Linked DNA regions of Macaca fascicularis. The protein of the gene in region 2 purifies or fractionates together with the protein of the main gene of each other region. This does not show direct contact. Links are inferred from orthologs where the notes say so. Each region holds a gene or a part of one and is shown on either strand. Other genes may lie near its edges.

The links. Proteins that work in one complex are often made in the same cells at the same time.
Region 1: the proteins of GIPC1 (region 2) and SH3BP4 purify together in Homo sapiens (affinity purification with mass spectrometry; 4 studies listed by BioGRID and IntAct, with this or other methods). This does not show direct contact. The link is inferred for Macaca fascicularis from reciprocal best matches to the Homo sapiens genes GIPC1 and SH3BP4.

Annotation. Positions count from the first base shown.
Region 1 is NC_088386.1:130,941,141-130,947,094, forward strand, and holds part of SH3BP4 (SH3 domain-binding protein 4), read left to right. Parts: intron 1-3,617; 5' UTR 3,618-3,750; coding exon of another isoform or gene 3,751-3,868; intron 3,869-4,405; 5' UTR 4,406-4,521; coding exon 4,522-4,732; intron 4,733-5,954. UniProt on the Homo sapiens protein: May function in transferrin receptor internalization at the plasma membrane through a cargo-specific control of clathrin-mediated endocytosis.
Region 2 is NC_088393.1:14,913,595-14,919,548, forward strand, and holds part of GIPC1 (PDZ domain-containing protein GIPC1), read right to left. Parts: intron 4,887-5,954; 5' UTR 4,857-4,886; coding exon 4,569-4,856; intron 2,108-4,568; coding exon 1,922-2,107; intron 1,815-1,921; coding exon 1,634-1,814; intron 930-1,633; coding exon 817-929; intron 185-816; coding exon 103-184; intron 1-102. UniProt on the Homo sapiens protein: May be involved in G protein-linked signaling.

The DNA.
Region 1 (5,954 bases), on a different chromosome or scaffold from region 2:
CTGCAGATCTCTCTCTAGAACCGCGAACACTTTAGCTTTTTGTCTCATCACTGGTTCAGGGGAGTGGCCATACCCCTCCATCAATAATAAACACAAACACTGCTGCATCTCCAGAAACCACGTGCACAGTTCTGTGACTTCTTTCTTCTGCCCCCAGGGTGCTGGAGGCCGTATGTCAGTAGTTTTCAAAGAAAACGACATTGCTGCTTCCATTTTTCCCTTGTCTACAGCCAGAGTTCTCTTTCTCAATCGGAAAGCTGCAGTGGCTTTCTGGGGTGTCCTGGGCAAGACTGACCTTCACCTCCGCATTTCGCCCGCTTACCTGGCCTCCTGCCTTCGATGCGGGCCCCACCATAGCCCCTCCATCCCTCTAGCCCCTCCACACTGGTGTAGCCAGGTCTTCACTGCGCCCACCTGTTAGGCCTTCCATAGGCCTCTGGGCCGCCGCCGCCTCCTCACTGAACACTCACTAGCATCTCACCTCTTGTGGGAGCTCTCTGGGCCTCACTATGTCACCAGTCGTGCTCTCCAGACCCCATTCCTATTACTGCCCTCGGCCCCACCGGGCCTGGCAATGTCCTGAGCAGCCTGCGTGGAGCCCCAGGTGCCTGACGCCCATCTCTGCTGACAGCTTTGCAGAGCCAGGACATGCCAGGCAGCTTTTGGGAATGCCTCCCTCTTGTGCCCAGATGGACTTTTTGTTAACCCTCCATGAAATAATTCTTCCTGGTGTGACTGGGAAACCAGGCAATGCTATAGTCATGAGGGGGCGGGGTGACCATGGTGGCCGAGGCAGCCCTTTCCCTTCTGCAGGAGAGTCGTGGCCCCAGTGGGAAGGGCACACATTGGTGATTAACAGGAGCCTTCGTTCGGCCACGGTGACCCAGAGTCTCATCCGGCGCAGTCCTCAGAGTAGCTCTGGACTGGTGGGGGTGGGGGCACCCCAGTCCCTCACCGGATGGGCAGGTGGGCTCCAGTTGCCCTCACAGCTGACACCCCCTGACTTTTCCTCCTCCTCGGGTGCAGTCAGATGGAGACTCTCAGGCAGGAACTGTCACCGTCACACGTGAAAGGCCGCATGGCAAGTACTGGTTGTGGGCTTGCGATTGTCCTGAAGCTCCTCCCCTCACCCACTCATGGGTCTCTTCATTTTCTCTCCGCATCAGTTCTCTGCAGTAAATGATCCCGCATTTTTGTATGGGAAGGATTTTTACTCCTCACTCAGCCTGTTGAAGTCAGGCTGCTCTGGAGGTGGCCGTCACTGAGGTCTCCGCAGTGGCCTCCAAGCAGCCCAGGGGCTTGCACGTGTGGCCCTTGCATTTGGGGGCTGCCGGGCTACCTGGCTGTGGTAGGAGGGTCTCTCAAGTGGCGGCAAGACCCCTTCATCCAGCTCTGCACGCAGGCTGTGCAGACAGAGCCACTCGGTCACCGCTTCTGGTAGGGGGCGAGGGTGTTGTCCCGTCAGTGTTGAGCCTCAGCGTCCCAGACCCCAGCAGAGGAGTGGAGTGTGGGGTGGAAGGAGGCTGCCTCCTGGCCTGAGCTCCGTCACTTCCAGCCAGGCAGTCTGGGTCCCGGGCATCCAGGGAGCCTGTGGTCTCCCCAACGCACGGTTCTCTGGGGCCGGGAATAGGGAATGAGCATGCAGACCTGACCATTGTAACTTCATAGGGAAAGATGGAAACATCTGTGACCACCCAGTTTGGGGAGAACAGCTTCATTCCTTCCTGTGAGTAACTGGCCTGTGTGCGTGCTGGTCTCCACTCCGCCCCTCCCTACCATGCTGGGTAGGAGAGACGGCGAGGCTGGCCTCAGGTGGGTGTTTTCTAAGGGAAGGGCCCCCAACAGAGCGGCTCTGCCCCTCCCCAGAGAGGTGGCCGCCGTGCCTTCCTCTCCTGCTGCCGGCTGCGCTCAAGCACCACAGCCCCAGCGGCTCCAGCACGGGAGGCTCATCTCTCACAGTTCCAGGGCCCAGAAGTCCAAAATCAAGGCGCCGGCCAACTCTGTTCCTGGGAAGGCCCTCTTCCTGGCTTCATGTGTCCTCACGTGGTAGAGGGAGAGAGAACGGAAGCTCTCTGGTGTCTCAAATAAAGGTGCTGATCTGATCATGGGGACCCCACCTTCATGACCTCTTGTAACTCTAACTACTCCCCACTGCCCCATCTCCCAGTGCCATCACGTTAGGGGACAGAGCTTCAACATAGGACTTTAGGGAAACATAGTTCAGTCCGTAATACATGCCTTCTGTCCAGACAGCGTTCAGGTGCAGAGTGCAGCCTTCTGAGGCCTTGACGTGGAAACGATGCCTCCCTTGAGCCACTGTCCGCCGGTCACTCGGAGCTGGAATTGCAGCTTCTGATGCAGTGGTGACGGTGGCTGAGACTCGGCAGGGTTAAATACTGAACACAAGATTGCCCCTATAGCAGCATGTGGACACACGCCTGGCTCTGCTTACTGCACAGGGGCCCTCCAAGCCGTGCTCACTGCACTTGGAGCCTGGGGGAAGAATGGGGATGGTCAGGGTTCTGTCCCGGCTGCTGCAGAAACGTTGCAAAGGGTGGTGTCAGGGCCTCTGGGTCTCTGCAAGGTAAAGGCGGCATGCTGGGTCAGAAGCTACATTCTCAGCTGTCTCTGGATAGAGCAATTGAGGAATAAGGGACCTCAGACCATCGTATATGTGCCTGGTTATGTAGGGGTGAGATTTGCTTGCTCAGAGCTCTATGTACTGTGGCCTGCTATGACAGTGTCTGCCAGTTTCTCTTGGAGAGCATATGAAATTCACCGCTTTGAAATCGGCTCACTGCTCTTCCTGTCCCTTCTCCTGGGCCCTGGTGAAGGGCCTGCTCAAAGCCAGTTACCTCATTCATATCCAGAACCCGTAACATGCTTCTGTCCTGTCTGTGTGCCTGTCCAGAAAAAAAAGCAGAGGCCTTAGGGGTGATTCTTGGGGTCTCTTCCACGGAAAGATCTTTCCTGCTTAGTTACAGTGGTTCAGTAAATATGCCCTGGTTTCATCTGCATACATTGCATCTGCATACGTTGCATTGAGAATACCTTATGGCCGCTCTGTGTTGTGTTTAGAATTGTTTATTTGGGGTGCAGGGGGGATTTCAGCAGCGGATGGGTAGGGAGCATCACCCTTGGGGCCTCTGCTGGGCTGTGCCATTGATGGCCGCTTCCCAGGGCCGAGTCACCATGATGACTGCTCCTGCACTGGAATCAACCACTCTGAACAAGCAGAAGCCGATTTTTCCTTTTCCGAGCCCTGCAGCTAGCAGCGTGGACTGTACAGTCCTACTCTGTCCTCCTCTTTGACTGTAATGAATGGGCTGGCCTGGAACACATTTCACAAACACTCTTGTGCTCCCAAGAAGAGCAGGTGCAAATAGCCAGAAAACACTGCTGGGCTGTGTGTGCCCAGGGTGCCAATGAGACAAGCACAAAGTGGGCACAGAGGCCAAGGAGCAAGTGCTGCTCTGCTCTGTGGGGCCAGGAAGGATGAAATGGGTCTATCCTCATTGGAACAATCTGGAAGAAAGAGGATTCAACTTCCCATAAAATTACCATTGAACCCATGTTTCGCTTGCTCAGGGGACTTTTTTTTCCTCCTCTACTTTCAGGAAGAAGGCATATTGCCAAGTGGATGCCGCCGCGCAGCATGTTTGCTTGAGGCGGAAGCTTCAGCGTCTGCTGGGATAACTGGAGGAAGAAATATGAAGCCTTAGCAGCTTTACCCGGGAAGCGAGTTTCGAGATGGCGGCTCAGCGGATCCGAGCTGCCAACTCCAGCGGCCTCCCTCGCTGCAAGTCAGAGGGGACCCTGATTGACCTGAGCGAAGGGTTTTCAGAGACGAGCTTTAATGATGTCAAAGGTGAGCTTCTGGGGAACAGGACTGTGGCTAAGGGAGAACGTTGGGATTTCCAAGTTGGAACTCAGGAACTTTTCTGCTTTAAAGATCGCCAGTTTAGCATTCAGATCATTAAAGTTTAGTTCTTTAAACTTCACCGTGTTCGTAGGTTTAGCCCTAGACCCATAGCCGCTTGTCTTATTTTTTGGTTCCCCCTTATTAGTGAAACCCCTTCTTAATACAGGGTATGTTTCTTTTTTCGTGATAAAATTCAGTGACAGTGTGGTAGGGAGCTTGGTGGCGCAGAAACCCAGGGGAACAGAGAGTGTGGCAAATAGATGAAATAGTGAGAACCACTAGAGAAGAAAAAAAGGTGGCTTAGGGGAGGGGTCAGCAAACCTTTTCTCTAAACGGTCTGATAGGAAATATTTGAAGCTTTGCAGGCCATATACCATCTCTGTCACTACTATTCATTGCTGCTTTGTTGCATGAAAGCAGCCACAGAAGTAAGTCATTAAATAGCCACAGTCGTGTTCCAAGACAACTTTTTTTTTTTTGCAGACAACCCCGTGTGGCCCCAGGGCCGTGCTTTACCAATCCCTGTTCTAGAAGGTGGTCCTAAGGTTTGATAACCCTGGGTTTCCGGGTTTCTCCAGTGGCCGCATAAAATTGAGTTCATGAGAAGACCTATCTTTTGGACACCAAGGTTGATACCAGTAGGGCATTTTCTTCCTGGACATCTGCCCCAACCTAGGCCACATTCAGTCTCTCTCAACGTGCTCCCTCGGGGCTTGGCAGCTGCAGTGACGGCAGCATCATCATCAATATCATCATCCCTTGGCTTTCTCTTAGCTGTTGAAATTGTCTTGCCTGGAGCACAGCTGAAAAGTAGGAACTTGACTTTGACCTTTGTATCCTCAGCCCCGGCCTAAAGTCAGTGCTAAGTAAATGTTTCTTGAACTAAACCGCTATCCCCCAGATAAAGTTGTAATCCTCTATCCTGATGTACTAGAAATTATACGCACTGTGTTTATGTCTGTCTAATTGAGTAGCTTCTCCTTCCCCTTTATCCCAAACATCTTCTCCCTGCCTCTGATTGATGCTGGCATCCCTGAGCATTGCTGTAAATGTTCTTTAAAATAAAAGGCTAGCCAGTATGAGATGTTATTAATAAGAGAACAACAGTGATTGGGTGTTGCCATAAATAACTGAAGCATTTATTTTTCAGATTCTGTTAATGGACATTGTTTTTTTTTTACTTTATGGCCCAACTCAGAGTCAAAGCTAGGACTAGGGAACATAAATTGTGTGATTTGGGCAGAGTGTTACAGTGAGGAGGGCAGAGTCTTAAAGTGAGGTGAACTTTTTAAAATAATGACAGCGGGCTGGGCACAGTGGCTCACACCTGTAATCCCAGCACTTTAGGAGGCCGAGGCAGGCGGATCACAAGGTCAGGAGCTCGAGACCAGCCTGGCCAACGTGGTGAAACCCTGTCTCTACTAAAAATACCAAAAATTAGCCAGTCCTGGTGGAACGTACCTGTAATCCCAGCTACTCAGGAGGCTCAGACAGGAGAATCACTTGAACCCAGGAGGCGGTGGTTGCCGTGAGCTGAGATCACACCACTGCACTCTGAGACTCTGTCTCCAAAATAAATAAATTAATAATAATAATAATAATAATAATGACAGTGCTCTGGAGGAAATATTGGCTGTTATCCCTAAAAGACTCCCAAATTTAGAGGAGGAAGACAAACAAGACAGCCTCGAATGTGAGGAGGAGGATGTTTTGAGAATCTGAGGTTGACAGAACCGTGGGATCTCCGGTCTCGCCCAGAGATCCTGGGGAGTCTACCTCCAAGGCACCACATGTGACCCAGGCAGTGCGCCAGCCAGAAGCTTCACGCACATCCCGGTGATAGACAGACTCCAAGGTGGGAATTTATTTCAGCCAAAATATCTGCCGTGGAACCTTCTGCTCTGATGAATGTTTTGCCTGCAGAAGAACGTAGGCAGAGGGATAGGAAATGTATTATTCAGTACATTGAACTTCCTAAAACCCAGGGAGATTTTTTGTATTAGAATCGAGGTGGCTGTGAATCTGGGTAACA
Region 2 (5,954 bases):
GGAGGCACAAATGACACCAGGGACCAAGGGACTCAGGGTGGATTCAGCCAGCACCAGACCTAGATGCCGCCCCCCACGCCCCCGCAGGCAGCCCTCACTTACCCAACTCCGTGTCCCTGATACCCATGTAACTCTCCAGCAGGTCATCCACCTTCTCAATGGCCTTCTCTTCAAAGGCGGAGGGCTGGGGGCCAGGAGGGGTGACAGCGACATCATAACAATGTGAATATACATTGTAATTGGACTGACCGCCCTTGTCACCACTTTACATATATTCCTATTTAGACCTCAGGACAACCCTGAGAAGAAGGTATCGGTGTTCATCTCATCCCCATTTTACTGATGGGCAAACTGAGGCCCACGTGCCCAAGGAAGGTCCCTGGGAGCTGGGAAGTGGCAGAAGTGGACTAGAATCCAGGCTGTCTGCCCAGAGTCCCCTCAGCTAACAGATGATGCTGCCTACTATGAAAAGGAAGTGAGGGCTGGGGGTGGTGGCTCACGCCTATAATCCCAGCACTTTGGGAGGCCAAGGAGGCTGGATCACCTGAGGCCAGGAGTTCGAGACCAGCCTGGCCAACATGGTGAAACCCCGTCTCTACTAAAAATACAAAAATCAGCCGGGCATGGTGGCGGGCGCCTGTAGTCCCAGCTACTTGGGAGGCTGAGGCAGGAGAATTGCTTGAACCTGTGAGGCTGAGGTTGCAGTGAGCCGAGATCGAGCTACTATACTCCAGCCTGGGTGACAACAGTGAGACTCTGTCTCAAAAAAAAGAAAGGGAAGGAATGCTGGAGATAGGGTCCAGCTGGAGCACTCACCAGATCCTCCACCGTGGCAGGGCCCCGGGATCGGAGCCGCAGGGTCCCTCGGCCAGTGCCCAGTTGTGGGCCAGAGCCAGGGCGGCCACCCGCTGAGCGTTGGCTGATCATGTCTGTGGGAGGTAGGAGAGGGGTGCGTGTGGGGGAAGCTCGGTTTTAGCACGCTCTGGGCAGGAACTTGGCCCTCCTGGCTTTCGACACCACCCCAAACTTCTCCAAGCTTCTGCAAGTTCCTGGGGGCTGGGGCCAGGGCAGGAATCCTGACTCAGGCCTGGCATGGATGTGGGGCAGAGCAGGGGGGACAGCTGGGGGCCAGGAATAGGAAATGCTAGAGGGGAGACTGGAGGGGCCACTTCTGCTCCCAGGGGCTGGGACAGGAAGCGGGTGTACCCCAGCCTGAGTCTCCAGCTGCCTGAGTCCGTCTCCTCTTGGCCAAGGGGGTATGGCTCCCGGGCCACAGACCAGCCCTACCTGCCCGGGGAAGTGATTCAGTCCCCCACCCCCATCTCAGGGGCCTGGGGCCCATTCCTTAGAGTTAGTGAAGCCAGATGGAAAAGTGGGGGGGCTGGTACTGAGCGGCCAAGTCTGACCTGTTAGGGGTGGGGGCTGGCCAGGGGTGAGGACACCTTCCTCCTTGCCCCCGCCCTTCTCTCCGGCTGGGCCAAGGACCAGCACCTCGTCTCGGGACCGGGAGGAGCTGCACCCACTTCCCTTTCGGCTGCCCAGGCTCGGGCGCCACCTGCTGGCCGCTCCCGGCACCACCGCCTGCGCCCGTGTGAGCAGCGCCATTGGGGAGGTGCAGGGGGCGGCTCCTCACCGAAGGCCTTGCGAGGCTCCGTGAGCTTCAGCGTGAAGGTACGGCCTCGGGGCAGCTCCTTGAGCAGCCGGGCCACCTCGTAGTGCCGGCAGCCCAGCAGGCTCTGCCCGTTAATGGCCTCGATCATGTCGCCCACGCTGATGAGGTGGATGTGGTCGATCACGCTGCCCTCCTTGATGCGCTGCGGGGATGGCGAGTCATCAGCCCTTGGGGCTCTGCCTTGGTTTCCAGGGTCCCGTGGCCCACCCTCACTCCCAGGCCTCCGAGGTGCCCCGTCTCCCCAGGCACCTTGATGAAGGCGTAGCCAGCCCCGTTGTCCGTGATGGTGAGCCCGAGTGCATCCTCCGACTTGAACACCTCCACCTCCTTGCGCTGCCCCTTCACGTGGGCGAAGATGAAGTCCTCCAGCCCGATCTGGCCCCCCAGGAGCTTGTCCATGTCCACTTTGTGGGTGTTCAGGGTGCAGAACATCACCTGCAGGGGTGGGAGACGCTGAACCCTCTCCCCCCTCCCTCCCCCTTTGCTAATCACCACTGGAGGGCGAAGGGAGAGAGCTGGGAGAGGACTAGGAGCATTCCATCCCAGTGCCCGATCACCCACTGAGCCAGGGCCAGGGCAGGGCCCGCATTAGCGTGTCAGCTCTGCTAGGACTAGGATTTAATTTTCCTTTATTTTTTTAAATTTATTTTTATTTTTTTTTGAGACGGAGTCTCGCTCTGCCGCCCAGGCTGGAGTGCAGTGGCCGGATCTCAGTTCACTGCAAGCTCCGCCTCCCGGGTTTACGCCATTCTCCTGCCTCAGCCTCCCGAGTAGCTGGGACTACAGGCGTCCGCCACGTCGCCCCGCTAGTTTTTTGTATTTTTAGTAGAGACGGGGTTTCACCGTGTTAGCCAGGATGGTCTCGATCTGCTGACCTCGTGATCCGCCTGTCTCGGCCTCCCAAAGTGCTGGGATTACAGGCTTGAGCCACCGTGCCCGGCCTCCTTTTATTTATTTTCAGACAGGGTCTTGCTCTGTCACCCAGGCTGGAGCGCAGTGGTGCAATCATAGTCACTGCAGCCTCAATCTCCCAGATTCCGGCAATCTTCCCACCTCAGCCTCCCAAGTAGCTGGAACTACAACTAGCCATGCCTGGCTAATTTTTGTATTTTTTGTGGAGATATGGGGTCTCACTATGTTGCACAGGCTGGTCTCCAATTCCTGGGCTCAAGTGATCCTCCCATCTCAGTCTCCCGAGTAGCTGGGACCACAGGCACACGCCACCACACCCACATAGTTAAAATAATTTTTTTTAGAGATGAGAGCCTCATTATGTTGCCCAGGCTGGCCTGGAACTCCTGAGTTCCAGTGATCCCCCCTACCTCAACCTCCCAAGTAGCTGGGACTATAGGTGTGCACCACTGTACCCAGCTAGGATTTCTGTCCTAGCAAAAATTCATTGCTGTGCCGGGCGCGGTGGCTCACACCTGTAATCCCAACACTTTGGGAGGTCAAGGCAGGTAGATCACGAGGTCAGGAGATCAAGACCAGCCTGACCAACATGGTGAAATCCTGTCTCTACTAAAAATACAAAAATTAGGCCGGGCGCGGTGGCTCAAGCCTGTAATCCCAGCACTTTGGGAGGCCGAGACGGGCGGATCACGAGGTCAGGAGATCGAGACCATCCTGGATAACACAGTGAAACCTCGTCTCTATTAAGAAATACAAAAAACTAGCCGGGCGAGGTGGCGGGCGCCTGTAGTCCCAGCTACTCGGGAGGCTGAGGCAGGAGAATGGCGTGAACCTGGGAGGCGGAGCTTGCAGTGAGCTGAGATCCGGCCACTGCACTCCAGCCTGGGTGACAGAGCGAGACTCCGTCTCAAAAAAAAAAATAAATAAATAAAAATAAAAATACAAAAATTAGCTGGGCATGGTGACAGGCACCTGCAATCCCAACTACTTGGGAGGCTGAGGCAGGAGAATGGTTTGAATCCAGGAGGTGGAGGTTGCAGTGAGCCAAGATTACACGATTGCACTCCAGCCTGGTGACAGAGCAAAACTCCATCTCAAAAAAAAAAAAAAAAATTCATTGCTGCTTTCAGGGAATGGAGCCTGGCACACAGTGAGTGCTCAGGAAATACTTGTGGAGGACACAGAAACTCGCCCCACTTATGGAGACCCCTGCATCTACTTGTTCAAACCCACTATTGCCATCCTTGCCCCCCTCCCATCCATCCCCACAGTGCTTGGTGCCAGGCAAGCCAGCCTCCCAGTGTTGGGATTCTCCAAGGAATCACGGAGAAGTGCATCTTGTATCTGGCCTCCAGCCTCCACCATCTCCTGGGGCACTGGCCTCCCAATGCCTGATGGGAACTCAGCATCCAGGTTTGGCCTCCAGTTCTCCATACTTCACTGGGGCACAGGCCTCCTAATGCCTGATGGGAACTCAGCGTCCAGCCCTGGCTGTCAGTCTTGCACAATAGACTGGGATGCAGGCCTCTCAATCCATCCATACAATCAATACATCCAGCCCCGGCCTCCCACAGTCCATTGAAGCTCAGGTATCCCAGTGCCTGCTGGGAACTCAGCATCCAGCCCTGGCCATCAGTCTTGCATAATCTACTGGGGGTACAGCCCTCCCAGTGCCTGATGGGATGTCAGCATGCAGCCCTGGTCATCAGCTCCCACAACCCACTGGGGCACAGGCCTCGCAGTACCTGAGGGGAACTCAGCATCCAGCCCTGGCTTCCAGTTCCCCACAGTTCACAGGGGCACAGGCCTCCCAGTGCCTGATGGGAACTCAGATCCAGCCCAGGCCATTGGCCCCCGCCACTGAGTGGGGCACAGGCTTAGCATCTGCAGCTTTGGCATCTGAACCCCAGCTCACAAATGGGATGCAGGCCCAGGCCTCTGGCCCACCATCAGGGACCCTGGTGCCCGATTCCCCAGTGGGTACCTCGGCAGTTGGCAGGCGGAAGGCCTCGGCGATCTTGCCATACAGCTCCTTGACGTTGGTGAAGCCCTCGATGCGGCCAGTGGGACTGCCATGGGCCAGCTGGGTGTGGAACACAAGGCGGGGCCGCAGGGCTGGGGGAGGGGGGGGCAAGCCCATTTGGGGCCCCCCCGCCCCACCTCCGCCCAGGGGCCCTGGCTCCCCCACGCCCAGCCCGCCACGGCCTGGCTCAGCCTCCTCATTTTCCACTAGAGGGGGCGCCTTTTTCCGCCGCCCCAGTCCCAGCGGCATGAGCAGCGAGAAGTGGGGTCACCAGAGGATCTGTAGGAGAGGAAGTGGGGCTCAGGGTCTGGGCAAGGGCCTTGGGTGCCCCTCCCACACTACTCAAACCAGACAGGCCCAAGAAAGTACTCAGAGAACAAACTGGCCTCCGTTGAAATCCTCATCTCTTGTATAGTGATGGGACACTTTTATATAAAAGTAGTAACGGGGCTGGGTGCAGTGGCTCACGCCTGTAATCCCACCACTATGGAAGGCTGAGGTGGGTGGAGTACTTGAGGTCAGGAGTTTGAAACCAGCCTGGCCAACATGGTGAAACACCACATCTACTAAAAATATAAAAATTAGCCAGGTGTGGTGGTGCGCACCTGTGATCCCAGCTACTCGGGAGGCTCAGGCACAAGAATAGCTTGAACCTGGGAGGTGGAGGTTGCAGCGAGCCGAGATCGCGCCACAGCACTCTAGCCTGGGTGACAGACTAAGGCTTTGTCAAAAAATAAACAAATAAATAAATAAAATAAAATACTCACACCTGTAATCCCAGCACTGTGGGAGGCTGAGACGGGAGGATCACTTGAGGTCAGGAGTTCAAGATTCCCGACCAACATGTCGAAATCCCATCTCCACCAAAAATACACAAAAAGTAGCCAAGCACGCCTGTAATCTCAGCAATTCAAGAGGCTGAGGCGTGAGAATTGCTTGAACCCAGGAGGCGGAGGTTGCAGTGAGCCAAGATCACACCACTGCACTCCATCCTGAGCTAAAGAGCAAGACTCTATCTCAAGAATAGTAACAGCAGCAGCTAGGATTATTGCTTTGTGACCTTGTTTGCTTGTTTCGTTTGTTGTTGTGACAGGGTCTTGCTCTGTCACCTAGACTGGAGTGTAGTGGTATAATTAAAGCTCACTGCAGCCTTGATCTCCCAGGCTCAAGGGATCCTCACGCCTGTCTCTCAAATAGCTGGGACCATAGGCACATGCCATGAAGCTCAGCTAACCTTTATTTTATTTTTTTGAGATGGAGTCTCACTTTGTCCCCTAGGCTGGAGTGCAGTGGTGTGATCTGGGCTCGCTGCAACCTCCGCCTCCCGAGTTCAAGCGATTCTTGAGG